Linked DNA regions of Anolis sagrei. The main gene of each other region encodes a partner of the protein of the gene in region 2 in a complex. Links are inferred from orthologs where the notes say so. Each region holds a gene or a part of one and is shown on either strand. Other genes may lie near its edges.

The links.
Region 1: the proteins of DGCR8 (region 2) and ERH are in contact, whole or in part, in a crystal structure (PDB 7CNC), measured with the Homo sapiens proteins. The link is inferred for Anolis sagrei from reciprocal best matches to the Homo sapiens genes DGCR8 and ERH. Residues at the interface, in NP_073557.3 of Homo sapiens: Lys107, Phe108, Ser109, Pro110, Asp111, Leu112, Leu114, Leu115; in NP_004441.1 of Homo sapiens: Val8, Pro10, Thr11, Thr18, Tyr19, Ala20, Glu27, Lys34, Met35, His39, Arg42, Met43, Phe60, Leu64.
Region 3: the proteins of DGCR8 (region 2) and DROSHA are in contact, whole or in part, in a crystal structure (PDB 5B16), measured with the Homo sapiens proteins. The link is inferred for Anolis sagrei from reciprocal best matches to the Homo sapiens genes DGCR8 and DROSHA. Residues at the interface, in NP_073557.3 of Homo sapiens: Asn728, Ile731, Leu732, Lys734, Leu735, Gln736, Glu738, Met739, Lys740, Leu742, Ala743, Arg746, Arg750; in NP_001369437.1 of Homo sapiens: Leu984, Leu987, Phe988, Thr998, Tyr999, Thr1001, Ala1002, Ile1003, Gln1005, His1008, Phe1069, Asp1073, Leu1074, Glu1076, Val1077, Trp1078, Asn1080, Pro1082.

Annotation. Positions count from the first base shown.
Region 1 is NC_090021.1:283,409,127-283,419,360, forward strand, and holds the start of ERH (enhancer of rudimentary homolog), read right to left. Parts: upstream 4,124-10,234; 5' UTR 4,020-4,123; coding exon 4,017-4,019; intron 1,237-4,016; coding exon 1,149-1,236; intron 519-1,148; coding exon 398-518; intron 1-397. Other genes in the region: SLC39A9 (zinc transporter ZIP9), read left to right, coding at 4,805-4,900. UniProt on the Homo sapiens protein: May have a role in the cell cycle.
Region 2 is NC_090034.1:35,703,594-35,712,930, reverse strand, and holds the start of DGCR8 (microprocessor complex subunit DGCR8), read right to left. Parts: upstream 4,531-9,337; 5' UTR 4,426-4,530; intron 1-4,425.
Region 3 is NC_090024.1:91,652,860-91,663,120, forward strand, and holds the start of DROSHA (ribonuclease 3), read left to right. Parts: upstream 1-6,160; 5' UTR 6,161-6,357; intron 6,358-10,261. Other genes in the region: C4H5orf22 (UPF0489 protein C5orf22 homolog), read right to left, coding at 1-53, 1,214-1,359, 5,925-6,017. UniProt on the Homo sapiens protein: Ribonuclease III double-stranded (ds) RNA-specific endoribonuclease that is involved in the initial step of microRNA (miRNA) biogenesis.

The DNA.
Region 1 (10,234 bases), on a different chromosome or scaffold from region 2:
ATTAGCAATGTGACATTGAAATTGCCAAAACTGTAAGCCGCTCTGAGTCCCCATCAGGGTGAGACAGAGAGGGGTAGAAATATAGTAAATAAATAAATAAACTAGGACTCTGGGACACCAGAATTTGAATATCTACTCAGCTACAGAAACCCACTGGACAAGATTTCTATACTTATACATGACTATACAAGGTACTTCCAGTCTCAGAGAAAAGCAATGAGGTATTTCCTTTTAATAAATCTTGCCAGGAAAACCCATGAGAAGTTTGCTTTAGAAGTGCCATAACCCAGAAATGACTTGAAGGCACACAGCAACAAAACTCTATACAAATGCAACCATATATGTCTAAGCAAGAGAAGATATATATTTATAGAAGTTAAAAGTATAAAATACTCACACAAGGCAGCTGAGGTCAGCCAAATCATCAATAAAATCAAATAATTGGCTAATATCATATGTGATTGAAGGGCTGTTTGGATTCATTCTCTTCAAATGTTCTTCATACATTTTGCAAACTCCTAAGAAAAAAGAATATCCAGTATCTACAAGAGGCATTCATGAAACCCCACACTGCTACTGAAAATCTAGATGTCAAATATAAGAAAAGAGAATCAGTGCACATCCAAGCAAATGACATCTGATCAATTGAATGTTAGCAAATTAAGCTTTCATGTAGATAAATTTACAAATAAATTATTCTGCAGAAGTAAAAAAATTCAAACACTGAAGTACAAATTGAATCTGAAGATTTTAACTTTGGCTTTCAAAGTGTTTTTCCTCTCTGTGGCACTAGACTTGACCAAATACTTTAACAGTGTTAGCACCTCCATGTATCAATTTATTATTCTTATTAAAATTATAAACTTTCTCATATCTTCTGATTGGGTAAAAATTGACACATGATATCTGGCTCTAATAGAAAAATCCTTATTTTCAAGCAAAGTAGCATACTGCATCCTAGATACACTAGATTCAAAAAGATCTGATTCAGTCAGAGGAGTCATTGCGACATCTCCAAAATAAAACACACAACCACGCAAGAGCCAATAATTGCTTCTTCAGTTATTGGCTTAACTGGCCAGGTTTAAAAGGAATCCCCAACTTTTAACATTGATTTAGCATCAAGTAATCTACAGCAGGAATATTACCTTCCATGCACTCATTCACAGATTCATAATCAGCGTAAGTTCTGCCTTCTGGTCGTTTGGTAGGCTGAACAAGCAAAATTGTGTGAGACTGTACAAAAGCAAACACAACATTTATTTAGACTTCTGAATGTACCAGAATAAAGCATGTTATTTACATCAAATGCTGAAGTGTACTAATCATACAAAAATAATGCAAACACTGAAGAACAATGGCTATTTCCCCCGCCCTGTCCTATTTTAATTTTCTACGTAAAATAGGTTTGTTTTTAAGGATGTATTGCACAATGGGAAAATTTCATGATAGAGAATAGAATTTAACTGAATGTATGTTATGGCCACATGCAGAAAATAAGATGCAATTTCACACTAATTTCAGTACCACCAACAACAAAGCTTTATATATATATATGCATGATTCTAATGTGAACCCCCCTTTTAGAGGTATTTAAAAGAGAGAAAAGTGCATCTTAGAATGAAAGAAATGTGATATATATTTAAAAATGAAGATTTGGAAAAATACTCTTGACAACTAGAATGTTAAGCAGACAAGCTATTTATTGAAGTGCCAACTGCTAGCAGCTTGCCAAATGAAATTATTTTTAAATATTAGGATGATTGCAAGCTTTCTACGTGGGAACATGGGACTGCTTTGGTCATTCATTGAAAGTTTCTGATCAGTACAGCATGCCAGTTAGTAAGTAGTAGACTATGTGGAACAGCTATGTTCACAAAGTAAAAGGTCAAAAAATGAGGCTTACTCTCAGTTAATTGCACATATAACAGTAGCCCAACTACACATCTATTATGGGTACACAGGTGAAATCCTGATATATATAATATATTTGGTTCAATACATTGCTTTTAAATTATGGATATACCTATTACTAATTTTAACAAGTTCTGTCTCTAAGGAAAATAATCAAGCATATATTTTACTAGAAGAAATACACTGAATAAAAAAATAATAATTTGTGAGTGGGTTCTTTTTCAGAGTCCAGCAAAAAGACCTCTTAAAGAAATCTTTCTCATTTGGAGTGTGTGAAATGCTTTTTAAGATAAATTTTTACAAAATATACAATTTACTAGCATGGTTTTACATAAGAGAACCTACAGCTTTAGACTACAATAGCATGGCCCATTATGTTTGGTCTCAGGATGCCTGTAGACAACAAAATCCATGGATGCTCCCAAGTTTCATTCATACACAATTCGAATTTATTTATTTAGAACATTTATATTCCGTCCTATTCTCGACCTCCGAGGAGGGACTCAGAGCGGCTACCAGCAGGCAACAATTCGATGTTAATACAATATAAAAACAGCAATAAAATACACAATTGCATTAAATGATTTTAAATATACATTAAAAACAGTTTACCGGGTTTAAAACATCCTCCACATCAGTCCAAATTACGGTCCATAAAATCTCAACTTCACCATCTATTCTATTTGCAGACGACACCAATTTGGGAAGGATAGCCAATACTCCAGAAGACAGGAGCAGAATTCAAAATGATCTTAACAGATTAGAGAGATGGGCCAAACTAACAAAATGAAGTTCAACAGTGACAAATGCAAGATACTCCACTTAGGCAGAAAAAAGGAAATGTAAAGATACAGAATGGGGGACGCATGGCTTGGGAGCAGTACGTGTGAAAAAGGTCTTGGGGTCCTCGTGGACAAGAAGTTAAACATGAGTCAACAATGTGATGCACCGGCAAAGAAAGCCAATGGGATTTTGGCCTGCATCAATAGGAGTATAGTGTCTAGATCTAGGGAAGTAATGCTGCCCCTCTATTCTGCCTTTGTTAGATCACATCTGGAATATTGTGTCCAATTACACCGCCGTGAGTCGCTCCAGGGCTGAGAACGGCGGTCTACAAGTGCAGTAAATAAATAAATAAATAATTCTGGGCACCACAATTGACATGTTGGAATGTGTCCAGAGGAGGGTGACTAAAGTGATCAAGGGTCTGGAGAACAAGCCCTATGAGGGGTGGCTTAAAGAGCTGGGCATGTTTAGCCTGAAGAAGAGAAGGCTGAGAGGAGACATGATAGCCATACATAAATACGTGAGAGGAAATCATAAGGAGGCTTGTTTTCAGCTGCCCTGGAGACTAGGATGCGGAGCAATGGCTTCAAACTACAAGAAAGGAGATTCCATCTGAACATTAGGAAGAACTTCCTGACTGTGAGAGCCGTTCAGCAGTGGAACTCTCTGCCCCGGAGTGTGATGGAAGCTCCTCCTTTGGAAGCTTTTAAACAGAGGCTAGATGGCCATCTGTCAGGGGTGCTTTGAACGCAATTTTCCTGCTTCTTGGCAGGGGGTTGGACTGGATGGCCCATGAGGTCTCTTCCAACTGTTTGATTCTATTCTACGAATTGTGTCCCTTAAGCGGCTGAGGGGGAAAAGGAAGGGGCCTGAGGCTGTTAGGAATGATGGGAGTTGGAGTCCAAAACACGTGGAGGGCCAGAGTTTGCCCTTGCCTGCTCTACACGGTCCTTAGCGTCCTCTACCAAACGGTGCTGGCACCTCACGAAACTGCTACCTCTCAGGATTCCATAGCATGGCGCCATGGAAGTCAAAGTGGCGTGAAACTGAATTAATTCTCCAGTGTGGATGCACTCTGTCTCGCTAAGGTCGACTTAGGGAAGTCTTGGGAGGGCGAGGAGGGAGGGCTTCGCTGTTTCTCAGAGGCCACGCATAATAGGCTTTGTAGAGACCGACCCTCGCCCCTCGCCATTGCCTCCTCGCCTTTAGGCCCGAAGCCTTCTCAAGTGAACTGCGAGGCACCAAGCGAAAAGCCTCCGCCTCCTTCAGTCAATTCCGAGTCTCTTCGCCGCTCAAAACCCCCTCTCTGAACTCACCATGGCGATTCTTTTCTGTTCGGCTCGGGCGCGAAGCAAACTCCTAACGACTTCTCAACCACAATGCTCCGCGGCCGCCGGAAACTGACTGTAGACTCCAAATCCCGCACGAGAACCATAGAGGTGCCACCGTTTTCTGAGGAGAGCCGCAGGAGGTAGAGCGTCAACAGCGCCAGCCTCGCGAGATCTCACTTCTGCGTTGACTTTTCCTCGCGCGGGAGACGAAAGCGGCCATCTTTGGTCAGGGCGCCGGAGTAGTGTAGTCGAGGCCCGCCTTAGGAATGGCTAGCGGTGGGCGGGGCGGCGTTGACCTTCGTTCGCTTCGCCGCCATCTTAAAATTGGGCGGGAAAGAAAGGAGCGAATCCAGCGAGGCCTGCTCGCTCGTACGCCTCTCTTTCACTGCCAAGTGTTCCGGAAGTTAAGGAAGGGAAGAGGAAGTGAGGGAGAAGCTGCCACTTGGCCCTTGATGGCCGCTTCTGAGGCGGAGGAGGAGGACTCCACTCGCAGTGGCGGCGGTGGGACAGTGAGGGGCAGGTGGTGAGGGCCCGGGGCCTGAACCTGAGGCACTTCCTCCCTTCTCCTCCTCAGGAAGGTTGTGTGAGGGCCTTGGCGAGCTTCCTCTTCTCGCCCGTGCCTCTTCTCGCCCGCCCTCCGTTAGAGAAGGGCCCCCAGCCTCGAAGCAGAGTGCTGCCCGCTTTCCTGCCGCCCACCCCGGGTGTTTCGGGCCCATGAGGCCTCTTCCCTTTCTGGAATTCCCTGGGAAACTGTAACGTAAGAGGAGCCGGCCATGGACGACTTCTTGTCGATCAGCCTGCTGTCTCTAGCGATGCTGGTGGGCTGCTATGTGGCAGGCATCATCCCGCTAGCCGTAAACTTTTCCGAGGTAAGCAGGCCTTCTCTCACTGCTCTGTTCTCCCTTTTCACATCAGAGTGTTAAGAAAGGAGTGCTTCTTCACCAGGCATGGGCAAACTTGGGCTCTCCAGATGTTTTGGACTTCAATTCCTAACAGTCTCAGGCCCTTTCTTTTTCCTCTTCAGCTGCTTCAGCGTTTTAGGCATAATGAGGGCTGTACTGATGCTTTTGCCAAAAACTGGGACATGTACAGAATTAGAAAGATCTCTGTTAAATTCCTATTTATTTATTTGGAGTGCTTCTACTCCGCCCTTCTCAACCCCCTAGGGGGGACTCAGGGCGGCTTAGAAAAGGCACAATTCGATGCCCAACAATTCACAAAGTACAATTTACAATTTAACATCAACAGTTATTACTAGTTAAAACGATCAAATCAATCAATCCCACCTGAACAATCTGGAGGGTCTCATGAACCTGCTTGGGGGGGGGGGGTAGTGCTATAGATCTAACTGGGAGACAAGTCACTACCAAATGTGACACTGATCCCACTCTGGATGACAGCACTAGGAGAATATGATGCACTAATTGGACCCATAAAAGATACTTCACCCCTAAACCTTAAATACAAATGGTGGAGGGCCAGGCTATTCAGCCAAGCTCCCATTTGAACCAGTTATGGCTTGACACTCAGAAAACTGACCTTACTATTACTTTACTGGAATACCTTCTGCAGCTACATTTACCTTTATTGTGCTAAAAACCTATTATGTGCAATTCAGACAATTTGCTGGCTTTAATATCCCATCCTGTGGCTAATGTATGTGTTGGTAGGTTATGATCACCCCTCAGCCTTTGTTTAAGATCAAGTGTACCTTAAGCAGCTGAGGGGGAAAAGGAAAAGTACTGGGGCTGTTAGGAATTGTGGGAGTTGAAGTCCAAAACATCTGGAGGGGCCAAGTTTGTCCATACCTGTTCTATGCTGTCGAATCAGCGCACTTTGATACTATGTTCAGCTTGGAGAAGATGACTGAAATGATCTGAGACAAAGCTCTTTGAGAAGCAGGTGAGGGAACTAGGGATGTTTATCTGGAGAGAGGAAGGCTGAGAGGGGACATGACAACCATGTTTCATAAGTGAAAGGATGTCACATTGAGGAAATGGCAAACGTGTTTTCTGCTGCTCTGGAGACTAGGGGCCCTTCCACACAGTCATATAACCCACAATATCAAGGCAGAAAATCCCACAATATCTTCTTTGACCTGGGTTATCTGAGCCCACATTGACATATATTACAATTCAAAGCAGATAATGTGATATTTTATTCAGTGGTTTGGTTGTATGCTGCAGCCACAGACCACCAACTACAATGCAACCTGAGCCCTGCCGTATGCACAGCAAAGGACCTTCCCATAGCAACACCAGAGGCACTCCAAATGAACAGCTCCTGTTCAAAGGACATTTAGAATAATGCCAAGTTTTTAAACTTCCTTTGTGGTTTTAAATACATTATAATTATGTCTTCAGTTACCTTCTGACGTGATAAATAACGTGGTTAACAGTGAAGGTATTGTTTTATATGTTTTAATGTATCATATAATTCTATTTTAAAGGTTTATTTTATTTGTACATTGCCTTTGAAGGCATTGAATAGTTGCCTAAGTGAAAGCCGCCTTGAGTCCCCTCCGGGGTGGAGAAAGGCAAGATAGAAATAAATAAATGAAAATTCAGCTCTGAGGCCTAGGAGAAACAATGGATTCAAGTTATAGGAAAAAAGATTCCATGTGAACATTCAGAAGAACTTCCTGACAGTAAGCGCTGTTCAACAGGAATATGAACAGCTCTTTATGTGCCTCAGGCCCCTGCTACACTGCCATATCATCCAGATTATCAAAGTAAATAATCCACATTATCTGTTTTGAACTGTATTCTATGAGTCTGTAGTGCCATATACTCCAGTTCAAAGCGGATAATCTGGATTTTAGATGTAGAAGTGGCCTCAGAATGTGATGGAATCTCCAACTCTGGAGGTTTCTAAGCAGATCTTGGGTGGCTGTCCATAGGGACAGCTTTGATTGTGTATTCCTGCATGTCAAGGAGTTGGATTGCATGGCTCTTGTGGACTTCTAGCTCTATGATTCTGTGAACTGCCATGCTATGGAATCCTGGGAAATGTAGTTCCGCAAGGCAAAGACCTTGAGATACTAGAACTCCCAGGACTCAATAGCATCGAACCATGACAGTTAAAGTGAAGTCGAATTGCATTAATTCTGCAGTCTAGATGCATCCCTAGTGGATAAAGTTTCAGTGGATGGGAAATACACTCTTGTAAAAAGGAGTAGGAGTAGGCTTCTTAAAAGGAGTAAGGAAACAAGTAGGAGATCTTAAGGATAAGGAATTGAACAGATGCTCTGAAAGTCTACCAGGAGAGAGAAAACTGCACATTCCAGTTAGCTCTGATCTATATTGCATAATTCTGATTGGGTTCAATTATTTGAGGCGTAAGATGTGACAAAAGCTCTGGTTCCTTAAAAAGAAAATCTTGAGTGATGTGGGATTACCTAGGATTACTTCTGTATGGCAGTAAGCACTTTCTGAGTAAAATCTTTTCAAAACAGATAGCAAAGCATACACCACAATGGTGTTAACCCTTCCCTATGCTATCATAAGCTAATATAGATGTATTTTTGGCAGGTGTTATATTTAAAAATGCACCTGTTCCAACTTACAAATTCAACTTAAGAACAAGCCTACATAACCTATCTTGTTTGTAACTTGGAGACTGCCTGTATATACTTCAGTCTATATATATGTACTCTGAAATGGGTCTCATTGAGGTCAGTGAAGCTTCTAGGGAAATATGGGATTGTAGCAGAATGAGAACACTCAAGGGAGCACTGTAGATTATTATAATATATATACTAATGGGTAAAAAGTAACATGCAATGTGGAAATTATGCTGATTATAGCAGTGTGCGAAGTTTTCTCTCTCTCACTCTGATATCCATAATGTCTACCACCAGGCCTGCATAAATCATAGATCACAAACTTCCCAGCATTCTTGATGTATCTATGAGCTACAGAGGCAGTTACTTACTTGCTTGGATGACCTTATTTTTTCTGACTGGCTAAATAAAAAGCTGGTTCTATATCTCTGGTTTTTCCAAAAGAAATACAGTTAATCTTGTTTTCTAAAACATACAGGGCAGATTATTTCCAAACCATGTACTCCATGCACACACAAACACCTTGCATCCAATACACATTCTAATCCCTGTCAAAATATTTCTTAACTGACTGGAGAAAAATGAGAATGTTTCAGTATTGCTGATTTTAAAACATTTTCCAATTGTTTATTCCTTAACTATCATAAAATTTTATCATTTTTGTATAGAACTAACAGTGCAAATCTAAATCATGTTGGTGATGTCTGTAAAGTGGTGCACCTGTCACTGCTTCCAAAGCCCTGCAGGTACACATTGGATGGAATGGGAAGAATGTCTGTGTCTCCTTTATGTGTGTTTTACATATTTATCACTGATTCCAGTGTGTGGCAGATATTTAGAACAGCTTCAGGTTGACATAGAGGAGTCCAGTTGTAGGTTCTTCCAAGTGAACAAATCTGGTGGATCTCAGATTGCCAGCCACCTTCTCCTAGGCCTACTGCAAGCTCCTGTGTAGATTGATGCACTTGGTGTTTTGTAGAGATAATATGCAAGAAATTTTGGGTTTAAAGAAAGCTATCCAGTAGGGTCAGAGTTTCTTTTCCCCATATATTTATTTTATTCATTAATATAATCCCACATGCACTGGGATTTCATTTGTTTGTAATAAAAAACCCCAGATAATTTTGCTTCCAAACTGCATTTATGCAAAGCTATTAAGGTAGACCACATACTAAAAGACAATGGCTGTAATCCTATAGGTGAATTTGGAAGCAAGTTCTGTTAACTAATGTGGATTTTAACAGTATATTGGTCTGAAACAAATGTCCATGATTTCTTATAAACGGGGAGGTTAGATTTACTGGGGAAATAATTTCTCAAGTGAGGTGGAAAAGTTTATGCTTAGCTCTTAGGGTAGTACAATAGTCCTATATTGTCATAATTTGCCAACTTGTAACCTTGAATATAGTTGTGCATAAAGCAGAAACACAAGAATTGCTATAATTGTTCCATATATGTAGTGTAAGGAACATGTGACCCTGGAGATCCTGATTAACTATACTTTACATCAACTATTAGCCAGTCTCCCTGGGAGTTGATGGAAAGTGGAGATCAACAGCATTCTAGGGTTGGGGGATGGATTCCCCAATCTTTCTATGCAAAAGCCTTGAAGGTGAACCACCATGAATATTTGGAAGTAATGATCACAGAAAAATGTAAAATAAATAAAATAGTGTTACATTTCTTGGATTTTAGTGTCTGCAACAACTTGGCAGTTCCAAATAACAAATAGCATTTTATTAGTTAAGTTATTTTTACAACTTATTCTGAGATATCAGGTGCTTTGTTAATAGTTCCGTGTTGTGCAGAAAAGCTTATTTACGTATATTTCACAATTATAGTGGTTCAATTTTAAGAAATTAAAATTGCATCACGCAGTTTCGGCTGCTATATTTTTGAAATAATTTACAGAATAAAAACTATGCATTCATGCAATCCTTTTTTACACTGAAAATGTAAAAAATCAAGACCATGTATATCAATAAAAATGGTTAGTGAAGAAAGAATGAAGCTCATTGATTGCAATTATTAGTCTGCTAGAGATATGCTTGTGGAACAATTAAAGTAAAGCAGTTTAAAACATATGCCCTGTATGTGGCACTCATCACAAATGGGTGGAAGAATTGGGATCAGGTGAGGTTTCAGAACAGTCTTACATAGACTGTATCAGTGGAATAGAATGTAAATAATGTGTGTTCCACCACGGGTCACTCAAGCATCTCAGGTTTTCAGAAACACCCAATTAGGCATTGTCCTGGACTTTTCAGCTGCTTTATATGTCTCCAAAAAATGGAAAACAGAGTTATTCCATCAGACCTTGGTGCAAGTTCATCACATTCTGTGTGCAGCATTTAGAAGGTATATTTTCAGACCTGATTTATGTCTATTCAGATCTGGAGGGAAATGACCTACATGTGTTAGTGGGCGGGTTTTCTACTGTAGCTTCTGAATGCAAACAGAGTTTATTTCTAATTATGAATGCTGGATGTTTAACACTTTAGAGTTAATACTCTGAACTGTTTTTCATTCCATTTCAAATTTAAGTAAACAGTTGCCCCACATGTCGGCTTTCCAGACTTGCCATGGTGTAATAATGAGACAAAGTCCAATATTCCTCTGTATCTGCATAGGCCAAGTGTGC
Region 2 (9,337 bases):
CCAGATCCGTCCCTTCATCCAGGATCAAGTCCTGAATGGCAGCAGTCTTTCCATTGACGGATCTGGCATTTTTACCAGCAAGACCCTAAGACCAGGGGGTCTGTCATGGAGTCTACCATTTCCTACCTTCTCCAGGGTCGCAAGAACTCTGTTGCGCTTCTCCCTGGGATGTTGGTGACCAGCAAATCTCCTCCCCCACACGACCTGAATGGTGCCCGTCTCCTCCGGAACCCCCCCCCCCCGGGATTAGATTCAGTGGCTAGTCAACTCTCTAAAGAAGGGAAGCTAGGGTGTGATTTCCCTTGGAGGTCATATAAAGATGTTTCCGATGTCAACGTAGAAAGGGAATCATCAAGGGAACTAAGAAGGCTAAAAAGAGGTAGTGTCTTTGGGCAGGAGAGTGTGCCGATTGAGTGGGGACGAGTACAGTTGGGGTTTCAAACTGATACTGTGCAGATGTGGGGGTCCTAACCGGTGAGTTATTTGTGGATTTATCACTGGAACCAGATGGAACATGGCACAATCAAGTGCTGGGAGACCAGAGCCGAATTGGAGACCACATCTGCTAGCTAAGGCAGATGGAACATGGTGAGAAGTTCCACTGTGTCAACAAGGGGGCGAACATAGGGATCCACAAACACCTTTCTGATGGTAATGCCCCATTCTTTTAAGCAAGATCGAATTGCTAACAGCTCGCTGAGCCACGAATTGTCTTCAGGTGTAATTAGAAGACAAGTAGAGCGATCACATGATTGATAGTCTCTATGGAACCATGTTATGGCCTTCACTCTGACTTCTGGTGGTCTCTTTGATAGAATTAGGCCAGAGATTTACAGACCGCCCTCCTTGAGGTCCATCTGCCTCTATTGATCTTTAGTAGAAAGGAGATTCCATCTGAACACGAGGAAGAACTTCCTGACTGTGAGAACTGTTCAGCAGTGAAACTCTCTGCCCCGGAGTGTAGTGGAGTCTCCTTCTTTGGAAGCTTTTAAACAGAGTCTGGATGGCCATCTGTCAGGGGTGATTTGAATGCAGTTTTCCTGCTTCTTGGCAGGGGGTTGGACTGGCCCATGAGGTCTCTTCCAACTCTATGATTCTATAATTCTATAATCACCAGACTGGGACATAGCAATGCATGGCAGGGGACGGCTAGTAGAATTATAAAATACATTAAAACAATTAAAAACATTTAAGACAATATCTTCACAATCAATCACATAATCCTCAAGCATAATCCAGGCCATTCCAATAGTCATTGCACATCATTCCATATCTATCTATTGCACAAGTTCTCCAAACGCTTGGTCACAGAGCCACATTTACACTCTCTTATGGAAGGTCAGGAGAGAGGAAGCTGATCTAATATCCCTGGGGAGGGAATTCCACAGCTGAGGGGCCACCACCGAGAAGGCCCTGTCTTTTGTCCCCGCCAATTGCGCCTGGAAGGATTGAGAGCAGGGCCTCCCCAGATGATCTTAAACTCTGAGATTTATAGGGGGAGATGTGTTTGGACAGGTAAGCTGGGCTGGAACCATTTAGGGCTATATAGGCTAAAGCTAGTACTTTAAATTGTGTTTAGTAGCAGACTGGCAGCCAGTAGAGCTGATGTAATAGGGGGGTGGTGCGCTCCCTGTATGCCTCTCCAGTGAGCAATCTGGCTGCTGCACATTGGACCACTTGAAGCTTCCGAAGCTTCCGAACAGTTGAAGCTTCCGAACAGTCTTCAAAGGCAACCCCACATAGAGCATATTGCAACAGTCTATACGGGATGTAACAAGAGTATGGACTACCATGGCCAAGTCTAACTTCCCAAGATACAGAGGCAACTGGTGCATAAGTTTTAATTGTGCAAATGTTCCCCTGGCCACTACTGAAACCTGGAGTTCCAGGCTCAACAATGAGTCCAAGAGAACTCCCAAAACTGTGAATCTGCACCTTCAGGGGGAGTGTAACACTATCCAACACAGGCTGTAACTCTATGTCATGTTCAGCCTTACAACTGACCAGGAGTACTTCTGACTTGTCTGGATTCAATTTCAATTTCTTTGCCCTCTTCCAGACCATCACAGTTGCCAAGCACTGGTTCAGGACCTGAACAGCCTCCTTAGTAGCAGGTGGAAAGGAGTGATAGAGTTGAACGTCATCTGCGTACAGATGAAATAAAACTCCAAAACTCCGGACGATCTCCCCCAACGACTTCATGTAGATGTTAAACAACTTGGGAGACAGTATTGAGCCCTACGGGACCCCACAGGACAATGGCTGTGGGGATGAACAGGTGTCCCCCAAAAAGACCTTCTGGGAACGGCCCTCCAGGAAGGACCGGAGCAACTGCAGAACAGTACCTCCAAGACCCATTCCCACGAGGCGTCCCAGAAGGATACTGTGGTCTATGTTATCAAAGGCCACTGAAAGGTCCAGCAGAACCAACAGGGACACACTCCCCCTGTCTAGTTTCTGGCATAGATCATCCACTAAGGCAACCATGGCTGTTTCAGTTCCATGACCTTGCCTAAAGCCAGGCTGCACTGGATCTAGATAACAGACTGCACTGGATCTACATAATCCATGTCTTCCAAGAACACCTGGAGTTGTGAGGCCACCACACATTCCAGGACTTTGCCTAAAAGGGGGAGATTGGAAGCTGGCTGAAAGTTGAGGAATTGAGTGGGGCCCAGTGATGGTTTCTTCAACAGCGGTTTTATTACAGCTTGTTTTAAGCTGGCTGGAATCTTACCTACCTGTAAGGAGACATTAACCACCACCTTCACCAACTCTGCCAAGCCCCATCTGGCCTCCTTTACCAGCCAGGATGGACAGGGGTCAAGGATGCATGTGGTTGCTCTCACCTCTCCTAGTATCTTATCCACATCCTTGAGCTGCACCAATTGAAATGAAGCCATCAAAACCAGACAAGCAGGTGCTTGTGTTACATCCTCAGACATTGCCGTTAACATGGTGTCCAAGCTGGAGTGGATCAGAGCAACTTGGTCCGCAAAGAACCGAGCAAATGCTTCACAGTGAGCTGCAAAGTTGTCAGGGATCCCGTCTTGGGAGATGGGATTTAACAACCCTCTGACTACTTGAAACTGCTCCGCTGGATGGTTCCTTGTGGACGCAATATTGGCCGCAAAGAAAGACTGCCCTTAGAGATATAGCCATTTGAACCCCTAAACCCCCTCCCCCTTGGCTACAGCCCTGGCCCTTGTCATGTCTCCTCTCAGCCTTCTCTTCTGCAGGCTAAACATGCCCAGTTCTTTAAGCCACTCCTCATAGGTCTTGTTCTCCAGACCCTTGATCCTTTTAGTCCCCCTCCTCTGAACACATTCCAGCTTGTACTGCACAATTAAACAGGAAATAACACTCTCAAACCAGGAACAGATTTTTTTTCAAATTTTGTTACATAGTATATAATAATAATAATAATAATTATTATTATTATTAGCCACTGTACCACTAATGTTTGTGTTGTAACACATGGACCAAGACTCTTACCAAATGGCCAGTGCATAATGCTGCACCCAGGAACTTCTTTCCTCCGCTCTTGTACACCTTCCCAATTTAATGAATAGAAACTTATATTTTAAGTGGAGCGATCAGGCGGAAGACACAAACAGGACTGCGTTGCGTTTCCAACAGCCTTTTAGGAAATCAAAAGTCTATAGCCCTATATGGCTTGGGTTCAGGCTACCTGGCAGACTAGGAACCACGGTGGAGCAATGGGTTAAACCCTTGTGTCGGCTAAACTGCTGACCTGAAGGTTGGTGGTTTGAATCCGTGAGATGGAGTGAGCTCCCATCTGTCAGCTCCAGCTTCCCATGCAGGGACATGAGAGAAGCCTCCCCCAGGATGGTAACACATCCGGCCATCCCCTGGGCAATGTCTCTGCAGATGGCCAATTCTCTCACACCAGAATCGACTTGCAGTTTCTCAAGTCGCTTTTGACACGATAAAAAAAACAAAAAACCTGGCAGACTGTGGCCCCATCTACACTGCCATGTGATGCAGTGGGGTGGCATTCTGTAGCAGTGTGGCCTCATATCATGCAGTTCAACTGGATGACAGGGCAGTGCAGGTGATGCCCAGGCCCTGAGATGCTCAGCAGAGGCCCTCCTGCCACACATTTGAATTGCCCTCCTGGGGAGAGGAGGCTTGCCAAACTACAGCTCCCAGTGTGGTCGAGCAATATCACCAGGAAGCCATTGCCTTGAGCCAAAGCGGCCCAAGGGGGCGGGGCTTCCCGCACAGAAAGTTAGGCAAGGAGGACTTGTTGGAACTGGCTTGTTTGGAAACGCCAGGCAGGGCTTCCTGCTGCCCTCTCTCTCTCTCTCTCTCTCTCTCTCTCTCTCTCTCAATAGGTGCCAGCCACAAAGAGCCCCCATTGCCCCGCCCCCCACTCACTCACTCACTCACTCACTCACTCACTCGTCCAGACCCCCAGCTTCCGCCATCGTGCCGCCAAGCCCCGCTCCCGCTGCGGGCCTCTTCAAGGATCCCTCCCTCGCTTTCCTGTCCCAACTTCTCCCCCTCCTGGCCTGCCCTGGGACTGCCGCACAGCTCAGCCTCAACTCTTTCTCCTTCCTTTCCTCCTTTTGCCTTTCCTGTCATCTCCCTCCCTCCTTCTTTTCCCTCTCCCTTTCCCTACCTCTTTCCCCCCTTTCCTTTCCTCTTCCATCCCCCTTTTGCCTTTCCTTTCATCTCCCTTTTTCCTGCTTTTCCCTCTCCCTTTCCTGACCTCTTTCTCCCTCCTTTCCTTTCCTTTTTCCTTCCCTCCTCCCTTCCTCCCTTTTGCCTTTCCTTTCATCTCCCCCTTCCTTCTTTTCCCTCTCCCTTTCCCTACCTCTTTCTCCCCCCTTTCCTCTTTTTCTCCCCTCCTCCCTTCTTCCCTTTTGCCTTTCCTTTCATCTCACCTTCTTACTTTTCCCTCTCCCTTTCCCTACCTCTTTCTTCCCCCTTTCCTCTTTTTCTCCCCTCCTTCCTTCCTCCCTTTTGCCTTTCCTTTCATCTCCCCCTTCCTACTTTTCCCTCTCCCTTTCCTGACCTCTTTCTCCCCCCTTTCCTTTCCTCTTTTTCTCCCCTCCTTCCTTCCTCCCTTTTCCCTTTCCTTTCATCTCCCTTCTTCCTTCTTTTCCCTCTCCCTTTCTTGACCTCTTTCTCCCCCCTTTCCTTTCCTCTTTTCTCCCCTCCTTCCTTTTTTCTCCTCCCCCTTTCCTAACCCTTTTCTCCCTCCTTTCCTTTCTCTCCCTTTTGCCTTTCCTTTCATCTCCCTCCTTCCTTCTTTTCCCTCTCCCTTTCCCTACCTCTTTCTCCCCCCTTTCCTCTTTTTCTCTCCTCCTTCCTCCCTCCCTTTTGCCTTTCCTTTCATCTCCCTCCTTCCTTCTTTTCCCTCTCCCTTTCCCTACCTCTTTCTCCCCCCTTTCCTCTTTTTCTCCCCTCCTTCCTTCCTCCCTTTTGCCTTTCCTTTCATCTCCCTCCTTCCTTCTTTTCCCTCTCCCTTTCCCTACCTCTTTCTCCCCCCTTTCCTCTTTTTCTCCCCTCCTTCCTTCCTCCCTTTTGCCTTTCCTTTCATCTCCCCCTTCCTACTTTTCCCTCTCCCTTTCCTGACCTCTTTCTACCCCCTTTCCTTTCCTCTTTTTCTCCCCTCCTCCCTCCCTCCCTTTTCCCTTTCCTTTCATCTCCCTTCTTCCTTCTTTTCCCTCTCCCTTTCTTGACCTCTTTCTCCCCCCCTTTCCTTTCCTCTTTTTCTCCCCTCCTTCCTTCCTCCCTTTTCCCTTTCCTTTCATCTCCCTTCTTCCTTCTTTTCCCTCTCCCTTTCTTGACCTCTTTCTCCCCCCTTTCCTTTCCTCTTTTTCTCCCCTCCTTCCTTTTTTCTCCTCCCCCTTTCCTAACCCTTTTCTCCCTCCTTTCCTTTCTCTCCCTTTTGCCTTTCCTTTCATCTTCCTTCTTCCTTCTTTTCCCTCTCCCTTTCTTGACCTCTTTCTCCCTCCTTTCCTTCCCCTCCCCTTTGCCTTTCCTTTTCTCTCCCTCCCTTGCCTTCCTTCCCCCCTTTCAACTCTTTCCTTCCTTCCCTTGGTTTGGGTCTGCCCCTCCCCCAACTTAAAAGGGGTCAGTCTCTTTTTACACTTTGAACTGGTTGGCAGTCATTAAGGTAGATGAAGATGGAGGGGAGGAGGATGCAGGTATGGCTAAGGCATCCCTCCTGCACATCATTTCCTGATAGTTTAAGTGTCAGGCACACTTTTGTCACCCCTTTCTTTAGACCCTCCCCCCTCCCTTTTGACTCCTGAAAAAAAGCTTTAAAACATCAACAGCTAGAAACACAGCAGGGAATGGATGTTATTAACAGGCAGATTAGATGGGGCTTAAAAAAAAACAACGAAAGAGTTTCACAGCAATGTGAGATGTTTCCATTGTGGGATCTATTGGAAGCCCTCTAGTTTGGGCTTATTTGAATTGTATAGTTTTGCTGTTTGGAATTAAGCAAGACTTATAAGATATTTCTCTTTGCCTCAAGGAGGATAACATTTCCACCTGCTTCCCCGGTATGGTTTTGCGTTCCCCATGATGTGGATCTAATCATTATTTGTTTTATTTATTTACGATACTTCTATCCCGCCTTTCTTGAACCTGGAGGTGACTCAGGGCGGCTTACAACCTGGCAGCCATTTGATGCCCTCTATGACATGTCTGTATCATGTCTGAGACAGCATTGATCACCTTGGTGGATGATTGACAAAGAGAGCTAGACAAGGGAAGTATGTCCCTGTTGGTTCTCCTGGGCCTCTCAGCAGATTTCGATACCATTGGCTATGGTATCCTACTGAGCCGTCTCTCTGGGATGGGATTAAGGGGCAGTGTTCTACAGCTGGGGGACTCCTGTTCAACTCCGTGGTCATTGTCCTGCGGGGTCCCTCAGGGTTCAATTCTGCCCCCCCCCCCCATGCTGTTTAACATTTACTTGAAACCACTGGAAGAGATCATCCCAAATTTTGGAGTTTGGTGTCAAATTTATGGTGATAACACCCAACTCTAGTACTCCTTTCCATGTCACCCTGGTCCTAAACTGGTGCGTGTCATCAGTAATGGACTGAATGAGGGCAAACATTTTGAAATTCAACCCAGTCAAGACAGAGGTACTCAAAGGCGGCCCAAGGTAATTTTCAACAGTAAGCAAACAGTAGTTTGCCCCCCCCCCCCAACCAATTACTGATATATATTTTCTGTTCATCGTGGGAGTTCTGTGTGCCATATTTGGTTCAATTCCATCATTGGTGGAGTTCAGAATGCTCTTTGATTGTAGGTGAACTATACATCCCAGTAACTATAACTCACATATGTCAAGGTCTATTTTCCCCCAAGAAGGCCTCAAGAGCGCCCCTGGTCAAGATCAACTATACTGCAAATGCTTACTTTGCGTAATGGGTTGAGCCGGCCCTGGAGGTACTCCTGGTCAGTCAGAAGCATATCAGGGTAAAGGTTACAGCCTGTGTTGGACGAGGTTACATTCCCCCTGAAGATACAGGTTTGCAACTTGGGGGTTCTCCTGGGAGCCTCAGGTGTTGGCGGTGGCCAGGAGCGCCTTTGCACAATTAAAACGTGTGCACCAGCTGTGCCTGTACCTTGAGGCACCAGATCTGGCCATTGTAGTCCACGCTTTAGTCACATCCTATCTAGACGACTGCAATGTTTTCCACATGGGGCTGCCTGTGAAGATTGTTCAGCAGTTCAACTGGTTCAGAGTTTACTAACTGGAGTGCTGTATAGGGAGCGCACAACTCCTATGTAACAGCAGCTCCACTGGCTGTCGGTCTGCTTCCGGGCTAATACAAAGGGCTGGTTATCTATATATATAAATCTGTTAGGTTGGTTCAACGGGACAGCAAAACTCTAAAAAACCCCAATGAAACTTAACCAAAATTCCCATGCCCATAACACAACCCACAAGGTACAAACATATCTACTCAAAATGAAAAACAACACAAACACACTCACAAAATGGCAAAACAACTGAGCATGCGCATTGGCGCCCAGCCGCAGAAGAGAAAGAAAAAGGGGGAAGGAAGGAAAGAGGTAGAGAAGGAAGAAATGAGAGACAGAGGGAGGGAAAGAAAAAGGGGGAAGGAAGGAAGGAGAGAAGGAAAGAAAAAAGGGAACGAAGGAAGGAAGGAGAGAAGGAAAGAAAAAAGGGAATGAAGGAAGGAAAGAGGGAGTGAAGGAAGGGGGAAGATGTAGAGAAAGAGGGAGGGAAGGAAAGAAGGAAATAGAGAAGGAAGAAAAGAGACCAGAAGAGAAAGAAAAAGGGGGAAGGAAGGAAAGAGATAGAGAAGGAAGAGGAGAAGGAAAGATGGGAGGGAGGGAAGGAAGGAAAGAGGGAAAGAAGGAGAGAAAGAGGGAAGGTTGGCCACAGCAACACGTGGCGGGTAAAGGTTGTTATTTCTATTATTATTATTATGCTATTATTTCTATTAGACCCTTTTAGGGGGAATGGGAGAGGTGTCAGGTCCCAGAGGCAATGCATTGCATTATTGTTATTGTTATGATGATGGTGAAATAAAAGGAAATAAAAAGTGAAAGAAGGAAGCAAACAGGGAGGGAAGAAAGGCAAAGGAAGAAAGGGGGAGGGAATGAAGGAAAGAGAGAAGGATGAAACCAAGTAGTGAAAGAAGGAAAGAAAGAAAGAGGTAGAGAAGGAAGAAAGGAGAGAAAGGGGGAGGAAAAGGGGGAAGGAATAGGTAGGTACCTCTCTTTCATAATAGTCCAGATATCTACCTCAACTTTGATAAGTTTTACTATAGGCCACAGCAACACGTGGCAGGGCACAGCTAGTTACTTATAAAGCCCTAAACGGTTTGGATCCAGGCTATTTGACATACCACATCTCCCTGTACCACCTTGGGCACTGCAGTCAGCGGAGGAGGCCCTGCTCTCGGTCCCACTCCCCTCTCAAGCGCGGCTGGTGGGAACGAGAGAGGGGGCCTTCTTCATGATTGCCTTCTGCCTCTGGAACTCCCTTCCCAAAGAAATAAAAATGGCCCCTTCCCTCCTCTCCTTTAGAAAACTTTAGAAAACAAAGCTCATCTATGAACTTTAGCTTATGGAGAGGCAGAGGACTATTATTTATTTATTTATTTCGGGCATTTATACCCGGTCCTTCTCACGCCCAGAGAGGGACTCAGGACAGCTTACAACAGGCAACCCACGGTGCCAATACAATACATTAAAATCACGATACAATTGAACACAATAACACCGTTATAAAACAATCACTTTAAAACAGTTAGCTGGTTTAAAACATCGTCCAGGTCAAACCATTGCGGTTGTTAAAAATATTCTCTTC
Region 3 (10,261 bases), on a different chromosome or scaffold from region 2:
AAAAATGGCCAGCATAAACAGCAGGCATGATCCAGTTCTCAATACTTAGCTCACTGTAAAAGAACACAAGGTTGCATGCACTGAAAGGAATGCTGCTGTCAAAAGACATGGGCTGGCATATCACATCGTCACAATACATTTGCACATCTCAAAAGCAAAGGCCAGTATACAATATGAGTATACAATAAATGTGGGAAATACGAGTATACAATAAATGTGGGACAAGTACATGAGCAAACAGTAGGAAAAAAATTGAAACTTTTGTGATCAGCAATCTAAGGGTGAATCTACACTGTAGAATTAATGGTTTGGCTTTACTTTAACTGCCATGGGTTTTCTATTCTTTTCTATGGCACACAGCAAACAGAGGAATTGATCAGCAACTGAATGTACTAGCGAGGTTTGGGGAGAATTAACCATAATTTATAGGAATTGAAGGTACTGAGATGTATAGTTCACCTGCAATCTAAGAGCACTCTGAACTCCACCAACAATGAACCTGGAACTAACTTGGCACATAGAGTCCCCATGACCAAACAAAAAATACTGGAGGTCTTTGGAGGGAATCTATAGAAGTTGTAGTTCACCTACATCCAAAGCACACTATGAACCCAAACAATGATGGATTTGGACCAAACTTAGTACACAGAACCCCTATGACTAACTCAACCTACTGGAGGGATTTGAGGGGAATGATTCACCATAGTGGGAGTTGTAGTTTACCCTACAGCCAAAGAGTACACTGAACCCCACCAATGATGCATCCAGAGCAAAACTGCCCAACATAACTTTAAGTACTGATAGAGTGTTTTTGGGTTAACCTGGCATGATTTAAGTTGTAGTTCACCCACAACCTTATGTATTTTGTGTAATTTAAAATTTGACCTTTTCAAATAATCCGGACAATGCTAGGTACCCAAGCTAGTAGAATTTAAAAATAAGGCAAATGCAAACACATATGAATATAATATAATATAATATAATATAATATAATATTATATATATATATATATATATATATATATATATATATATATATATATAATTTAATATTTGTATCATGAGCGTAAAACTTAAAATATTACATTATAATTCTGTGATGTTGGGTTGGTCCAGAAATGAAGCAAGACATCAAAGGCAAAGGAAACCACACTCTTTACTTCCTGTATGCATAAAAATCTAGTGTATGAACAATCAGATCACAGGATCCTACCTAAACAGAGCTTCTTTGTCAAACACTGTGTCTGCAGGCATATTCACTGGGATGAGAAGATCTGGGTGAGAATCCAAATGGACAAAGCTGATGTTGCAGGCAGGAAGGTGCTTCGAACCAATGCCTCGGTAAATGAAAGGAAGAACCTAAAATAACAATGATACACAAGCATTTAAATCGAGGCAAAGACAGATTATAGAGAGCTGGGCCAAAAATCAACCAAACATTCCAACAGGAAGAATTGTATAGTACTATGCTTATGCAGAAAAAAACACCTGGCTTTACAACAGTACATGTAAAAAAGATATTGGAGTCTTAGTAGACCACAAGCTGAATATGAGGCAATAGTGTGAAGAAGCAGCAGCTTAAAAAGCCAATGCAATTCTAGGCTGCATCAATAGGAGCATAGTGTCGAAATTTGGGGGAAGCCATGTTGCCTCTGATCATACCTCGCCTAAAATACTGTGTGCAGTTTTGGGCATCAAAAAGGATATTGACAAGCTAGAATGTGTCCAGAGAAGTGTGATCAAAATAGCAAAAGGTCTGGAAGCCGAGCACCATTTGGAGTGACTTATACAGAGTTGGATATATTTAGCCTGGAGAAGGAAAGGTTAAGGGATGACATAACAACCAAGTCTAAATATTTGAAAAGGTGTCATGTTGAAGTTAGAGCCAGCTTATATTTCAGTGTCCCAGATATGAAGCAATGCATTCAAACTGAAAGAGATTCCACCTAAATATTAGGAAGAGCTGTTAGTGGAATATATTGCTTCAGAGTGTGGTAGACTCTCCTCTTCTGGAGGTTTTTGAACAAGACGCTGGGTGGCCATCTGTTGGGACTGCTTTGATTGGGTGTGTCTACATAGATGTTGGAATGGATGGCTCTTGGTGTCTCTTCCAACTCTATGATTCTATGATAAACTGTTATTGAGAAAGAGGGAGTCAATTGAGAAGAGCAACCGGCCACCAGCTCAACATGACAGTGAGATAGTGAATTCACTTCAGGCATTAAACTAACCTTTAAGGCAACTATCCAATGTGCTGAACCTTGCATAAAATATATTAAGTCACTTGGAGAGCCCCATTAAAACTAGCTGAAACCTCAAGTGGGTTTGCCACCTTGCAGACATGTGAGCTACCCACCACCACAAGAGGTAACTCAGCGTGCATTTTTACAGCCCAGTCTGTGTATATGTGTTTTGTGTGTGTGTATATGTGTATATGTATGTGTTTGCATATATGTGTGTGTGTGTGTGCATATATATATGGTTTTGCGCATGCGTTGTAATGTTGTTGTTTTTTGGCATTTTAAGTCTCTTCTGCTGTGTTTTTCAGTGTTTTTAATTAGTGATGGTCACTCATTGGCCTGATAGGTGTATTGTGTCCAAATTTGGTGTCAATTCGTCCAGTGGTTTTTGAGTTATGTTAATCCCACAAATGAACATTACATTTTTATTTATATAGATCAACCCAGTTTGACACCATTTTAACTGCCATGTATCATTTCAAATGGTCTTTGGTTGGAGTCCTGGTGCCTCACAATCTACAGGATTCCATAGCATTGTGCCATGGCAGTTAAAATGGTGTCAAACTGGAATAACTACGCAGTGTAAATGCACCCTAGGAATTCTTAGGGCCCTTTCGCACAACCATATAACCCAGAATATCAAAGCAGAAAATCCCACAATGTCTGCTTTGAACTGGGTTATCTGAGTCCACAGTGCCACATATTCCAGTTCAAATAAAAAAATGTGGGATTTTATCCAGGTATGTGGAAGGGGCCTTACTATAACCTTACTGCAGCCTATTCCTACACATTGTTACACATAAAGAGCAACTCCCAATAAAAAAGTTGCTGAATGCCACCAATGTCCACAAATTTGTTAGCAACAACGTGAAGTATTTACACTGGATTTTGTAGGAGATGGATTCAAAGGGCCCTGCCCTAAAGTTCCAATGAATGGTTGAAAATGTCAAAACTTTTTTTTTAATTCCCAAAAAACAGTAGATGTATGAATATTTCTGAAAGTTGTGGGGAACCATCACCTATTATCTTGTGTCATTGTACAGAAAATTCAAGCAGATTGCTCTTGTGGTTTTTTTAAGTTGTTTATAAAAACTTTGAAAATTCCCCAAAAATCCATAGATGAGTGAAACCTTCTGAAATTTGGTGAGCTAACAGTGCCAAATATGTTCTGCCACGGCAGCACGTTTCATTCCATTAGCTTTAAAAATGAGGGAGATAGGAGCCCATGAACTTTCTCCAATTTGAGTAATTACATGCAATTACAGTAACGGAAAAGAAATGAAATTCCGTTACTCACGTTATAGTAACGATTTTTCCCCAGTAAGAATACTTTGGAAACACTTTAGAAACGAAATGCCAGTTTTGTAATGACTTTTGAGCCATTTTTTTTAATGGATCGCACATCCCTAATTAAATAATAGTTGACACCACTGTTATGGCTCAACACTATGGAATCCTGGGATTTGCTACTTCATCACACTAGAGAAAGAATAATAACAACACTTTATTTATATTCCGCCCTTCTCACTCCGAAGGGGACTCATGGCGGATCACAGCACACATACATGGCAAATATTCAATACACAAACAGACAGAACAGAAAGGAGGTGTTATCGACTCAGTGTCCAGCTGTTTTTGGTGCCAAGAAAAGTGAGTCCAACCACAGGGGGTGCTGTTGCTCCATTTGCTATGACAAAGAGCTGTCAGAACTTCCTCCTTCCTCTTTGGTTGCCCAGCATTTTCTAATATTCTTTCCTTATGGCACCGTAAAACACCTCCCCCACTTTTAGCAGTACCTAATTTCTCTAATTACACCGAAAGCTGTTTCTGAACTGCTTAGGTAAACAGTGAGCTAGGCTGACAGTCGACCGCTCACACCGACCTGAGGCTTTGAACTTGCAACCTTTGGGTTAACAGATCTTATAGTTGCTGGTGATTTACCAGCTGTGCTAAGCCGCCTGGGTGATAGTATGATAGCTGGATCCGGAAGCTCCGAGCATTACGGAGATGCCACAAAGGTGAGTGTGAATAAGGGAAGGGGGGGGCAGGAGTGAGAATGGGGAGAGAGAAGTAAGGATAGAAAGGAGGGGATGCTTTGGGTAAGGTTTAGGACAAGGTTTAGGGTTTGGGTTAGGGTTATAGTAAGGTTAGAGGTTTCAGTTAGGGTATGGTTTAGGGTTAGGGTAAGGTTTTGGGTTTGCGTAAGGATTAGAGTAAGGGCTTAGACTTATGCTGCTGTTAGGGTTTCACCATTAAAGAACTTGGTGATAGTATGATAGCTGGGTCTGGAAGCTCCCAGCATTACGGAGATGCCACAAAGACGGGTGGGGAAAAGGGAAGAGAGGGGGTGGAGTGAGAGCAGGGAGAGCGAAGGAAGGATAGAAAGGAGGGGACGCTTAGGGTAAGGGTTAGAGCAGGGTTTGGGGTTTGGGTTAGCGTAAGGGTTAGGATAAGGGTTAGGATAAGGCTTAGGGTTATGGTAAGGGTTTGGATAAGGGGTTAGGCTAAGGCTTACGGTATGGTTCAGGGTTAGGGTTTGGGTAAGGTTTAGCGTAAGAGGTTAGGCTTAGGGTTTGGGTAAGAGGTTAGGCTTAGTCTTACGGTATGGTTCAGGGTTTGGGTAAGGGTTAGGGCAAGGGGTTAGGGTTAGGTTAAGAGTTTAGGCTTAGGCTTATGATATGGTTCAGGGTTAGGGTAAGGGGTTTGGGTTAGGGTAATGGTTTAGGCTTATGGTATGGTTCAGAGTTAGGGTTTGGGCTTAGACTTCCGGTACGGTTCAGAGTTAGAGTTTCACCATTAAAGAACTCTTACATTCCTTCTATATTATCTGCCTCCGGCCTGGCTTACATTAGCTAAGTCTTTCTTGCGCAAACAGCGCTCCTGAAGGAGCGATGCGGCATCTTGCACGGAGCTTCCAGACCCAGCTATCTTACTATTACCACCTCTGGTGGCACAGTGGGTTAAACCCCTGTGCCGGCTGGACTGAAGACCTACAGGTTGTAGATTCGAATCAGGGGAGAGTGTGGATGAGCTCCCTCTATCAGCTCCAGCTTCTCATGTGGCGACATGAGAGAAGCCTCTGACAAGGATGGTAAAACATCAAAAACATCCGGGCGTCCCTTGAGCAACGTCCTTGCAGACAGCCAATTCTCCCACACTAGAGATTTTCAAGCAAAATTCTCAAGCTGCATCATTTTATATTAATTAAATCATAAACACCATAATTAAACAAAGAATAGAACTTTGGACACATGTATAAAATCATGCAGTTTCTCAAGTCACTCCTGATACGACAAAATAAACAAACAAACAAACAAATAAATAATAAGCAACCACCTCCTGCCCAATGAATCCCCTCTAAATCCGGTTTCTGCCTCCTGCAGAATTCTGGGGTTTGTAGTTTAGTGATGCTGTTAAAGAGTCCTCCCTAAACTACAAATCCCAGAATTCTTCAGGAGTCAGGAGGAGGTAGCAACCAGATTTAAAGTGGAATCATTCTCTAGTGTGATGAGATCCTAACAGTGAGGTATCATAGCATTCTTTTGGGAAACAGTAGCTTGTCAAGTGACAACCATCTCCATGGCAGCTGAAGCGGTGTGGATGCCCCCTGAGTCACTGCTGAAGTCAGAAGTGGGGTCAAAGGGCCCTCATTCCGCTTGCAGTAAGCAGTCGCGCAGTGCTTACGTCGTGATGGTCCTCCACCACCCAGACCGGCAGCGCTGTGTAGAGCCTCCGCGAGCTCCCCGCCCCGCCTTCTTCCTCCTCCTCGCCGCTCATCTCGAACGCTCGAAGACCCAAAACCGAACGCTGCGGCCGGTAACGTTCCAAGGCCCGGGCGCCGGCAGCCTTCCGGGGGGAAGCCTCTCGAGGTGACACAGGCGGCAGGCATGGTGGGAAAGCGAGGAGGAGGAGGAGCAGGAGGCGGAGCCATGGACCTCAAGCCGCCGGAGGGAAGAGGGAAGAGGCCAACAAAGGGCGCCGATGCCGCTTCCCTCCCTTTGCAAGAGGCACAAACACAGGGCTGCCCAAGGCGTCTTCCCCTCTGATGTCTTCCTCCGGCCCTTTCCTCTTCCGGGGCTCTCCCGCCCTTTCCCCCCTCCGCCAGCCCGGATTCTAGGTAAGCTTCTTCCTCCAGATCTCTGCTGTAGACTGCACGCAGCTTGGCTCCATGCTGTCCTGGGGTTTGCCGTCCACACTCTTGCCAAACCCAATTCTGCATGGCTGCATTCATTCTACAAAGGCAGAGCTCCTTTGCTGTGGATGCCTTCCTCCCCGGGCCCTTCCACACTGCTGTGGAGCCCAGATTATCAAGGCAGACAATCCCACAATATCTGCTTTGAACTGAGTCCACACTGCCATATAGAGCTGCGTGGAAAGGGCCTATGATTATAAAATCCGAGATGATGTCCCCTTCCCTTCCTCCAGCACTCTTTGGCAGGAAAGACTCTAAAGAACTTGCAAAACTACAACTCCCAGGATCCCTCCTTATTCCCATAACATTGAGGCCCCTTCTGCACTGCTATATTATCCAGATTACCAAATTGGATAATCCACATTATCCTCTTTGAACTGGATTATATGACTTCACATTTTTATTCATCTTGTCAGGAGCAGACCGAACAGTTGCGGTGCCTTTTTTAACAAACAAACAAACTAACAAATAGACAGACAAAACACAAAGTTTGCAAGCTTGGTAGTTGATTAAATGTCCTTTGACCAGTATCTGGCCACTTGGAGTGCCTCTGGCGTTGCCGCAAGGAGGTCCTCCATTGTGCATGTGGCTGGGCTCAGGTTGCATTGCAGCAGGTGGTCAGTGGTTTGCTCTTCTCCACACTCGCATGTCGTGGATTCCACTTTGTAGCCCCATTTCTTAAGATTGGCTCTGCATCTCGTGGTGCCAGAGCGCAGTCTGTTCAGCGCCTTCCAAGTCGCCCAGTTTTCTGTGTGCCCAGGTGGGAGTCTCTCATTTGGTATCAGCCATTGATTGAGGTTCTGGGTTTGAGCCTGCCACTTTTGGACTCTCGCTTGCTGAGGTGTTCCACCGAGTGTCTCTGTAGATCTTAGAAAACTATTTCTTGATTTAAGTCGTTGACTTGCTGGCTGATACCCAAACAAGGGATGAGCTGGAGATTTATTATTTATTTATTTACTTTGCTTATATACCGCTGTATCTCAAGCCCGAAGGCGACTCACGGCGGTTCACAAACAGTAAAAACAGTAGAAACAGCAGTGGTTCCATACAGCATATAACAATTGACTTAACACATTATCCATAAATTACCAATAAGCAATTACAATGCACAATTATTACAAAAAACAACCGTACCCAATCTTCTCATCATCCAAGCGTAGTCCAGGTTCGTCGTCCATTGTTCCATTCCTATGTTCCATTACCAGATTGCACTAAATTACTCAAACGCCTGCACAAACATCCAGGTCTTCACCTTTTTGCCTCTGCCTTGGTCCTTTCACTATTGGCTGCTACTTCCTGGCGGATGTCAGGTGGTGCAATACCAGCTAAACAGTGTAATTTCTCCAGTGGTGTAGGGCGCAGACACTCTGTGATAATGCTGGTAGGCTGTTAGGAATGGTGGGAGTTGAAGTTGAAAACACCTGAAGAGCCAAAGTTTGCCCATGCCTGCTATAGAGCTTTTACAAAACCCTTGGCCTTCTCTGGCAAAGAGTGTTGATGTTCCAGTAAACAACAACTCCCACAACACAGCCATAATAAATTCTTGTTCTCTTGGCTTTTAGGTCTGTTCCTGGAGTTATAGGGTTCAGAAAATTGGATTGGGTAGACTGCATAAGCTCCGGTTTCTTAGATATGATTTTCTGTGGGTGAACAGATGGCGACTGGTGGGTGATGATAAGAGAAAACTGGTGCCATTTTTTGGAACTAGAAGATCAAATATACGCAGAAACAGGGCTAACATTCAAGGCACCAAAATGTTGGCCAGCGAAGCATTGAGATGTGTCAGTTAAAAGTGGTGCCAGAGTGCATTAATTCTACTGTGTAGATCAGTGGTTCCCAACCATTTTTTTTGACCAAGGACCACATTGACCAGGGACCACTTTCCAATATTAGTACCAAAAGGGTTAGGAATTGGTTGTTGGTCAACTTTACATTTGGTTTAGTTATTTGGGGTGCTGAAAATTGCATTGGATAGAGCACAGCAGCTCTAGCTTCTGATACAGAAAGTTTGCCATCCAGTAGTCGCCATCTGCTCAACCACAGAAAACCATATTTCATAAGCTGGTGTGGTAGTACTAATCTTTCATGGGTAGTCAGCCTCTCCCCTCCTGACAGCCTTGTTGCCTTGGCATGATAAGAGGGTTTTGAGAGACCAGTCGCTCTCGTTTGCCGCATGTTTTCGAAGCAATGGTGTAGTCATGGTGATGCCACAGACCATATTTTCGTTCTTGGGGACCACTGGTGGTCCACGGACCACAGGTTGGGAACCGCTGATATAGTGGGCCCAAGTATCCTAAATGTGCCAGATCCTGTCTGATCTTGGAAGCTTAACAGCCCTGGTTAGCACTTTGAACAGAGATTTCCAATGAATACCAAGTTCTGTAGGCTATATTTCAGAGAAAGGATCACTTAAAACCTGTGAGTATTGCCTGAGGAAACTCCATGAAATTCATATAGTTGCCATTGTTAGGGACTTACACACTTAAGAGAAGCTGATAACTAAAATATTGTTATTATTTTACTGACACAAAAACATAGTATATTACAGCAAACGAGATCTATATGCTGGATTTCATATCACAAAATCACAAGTTGAACACTTCCCAAGCATCTAGGACTGTGTGGTGTATTTTCAAATGATTTGTGGAGATCCAAGCAAGGTGGCCTTTTGGAGTTGACAGATCATGATTTTGCCAATGTTTATTGTTTCCAAATGCTGGCTGAGATCTTTTGGCATGGCACGCAGTGCACCAATGACCACTGGGACCACCTGTACTGGTTTATGCCAGAGCCTTTGCAGTTCGATTTTGAGATCCTGATAACGGCTGAGTTTTTCCTGTTGTTTTTCCTCAATGTGACTGTCACCTGGTATGGCGACATCAATAATCCAATTTTTTTCTTTTCCACAATCGTGATGTCTGGTGTATTGTGTTCGAAAACTTTGTCAGTCTGGATTTGAAACTCCCACAGTATTTCTGTATGTTCATTTTCTACAACCTTTGCTGGTAGGTTGTACTTGTGACGTAAATTCCAGTGAATTATTTGGGCGACAGAGTTGTGCCTTTGTTTGTAGTCCGTCTGTGTGATTTTCTTGCAACAGCTGAGGCTATGTTGTTGCAATTATTGTTATTATTATTGCTAATACCAATCAGTTCATGTTTATGTTTATGTTTTTTGCTGTTGTGGTTCCTTAGCAATTGAACAGATTGGAAGAAAAAAAAGTTGGTACACTCTCTAGTCAAAATAAGAAGTGATATGATCTGATTTAACCCCATTTTCAGGATTATTTCTTTCTTTCTTTCCGAGCTAAACCCATTTTCAGGATGTCTTTCTTTCTTTCTTTCTTGGAAGGTGAACGTCCAACGAGTTAGGACCATCCCTCTAGACAAGAACTGTTGTTTTATTTGCTCTGAGATTTTATTTTTCACTTTTAGCGAGACTTGTGTTTCCTGTTTGAATGTATCTCCAAGAAAAAGGCCTGATCTTGCACGAAGAACCCTTCCTTTCAACATGAAAGATTTTTTTATATCTTGTAGTGCATTGGGGTTCTCACTGGGATCAGAAACATTGCAAGGGTTCTTATTTTAGCTGGACACAGTCAGTGTCATGATCCCCAAATGGAAGTACTGTCACAAGAAAAGAATCAAAGTCACAAAGGAATCCAGAAGCACCTTTGAGACTATCAAAACCGCCTGAAGAAGCCATTTCAAGTATAGCTTTTGTGGATACAGTCCGTTTTTGTCAGATACATTTGATGAAGTAGGCAGTGTTCACAGTAAGAGATATTAGAAATGTCTTCTTTTCCATTAGTCTCAAATACGCTATTGGA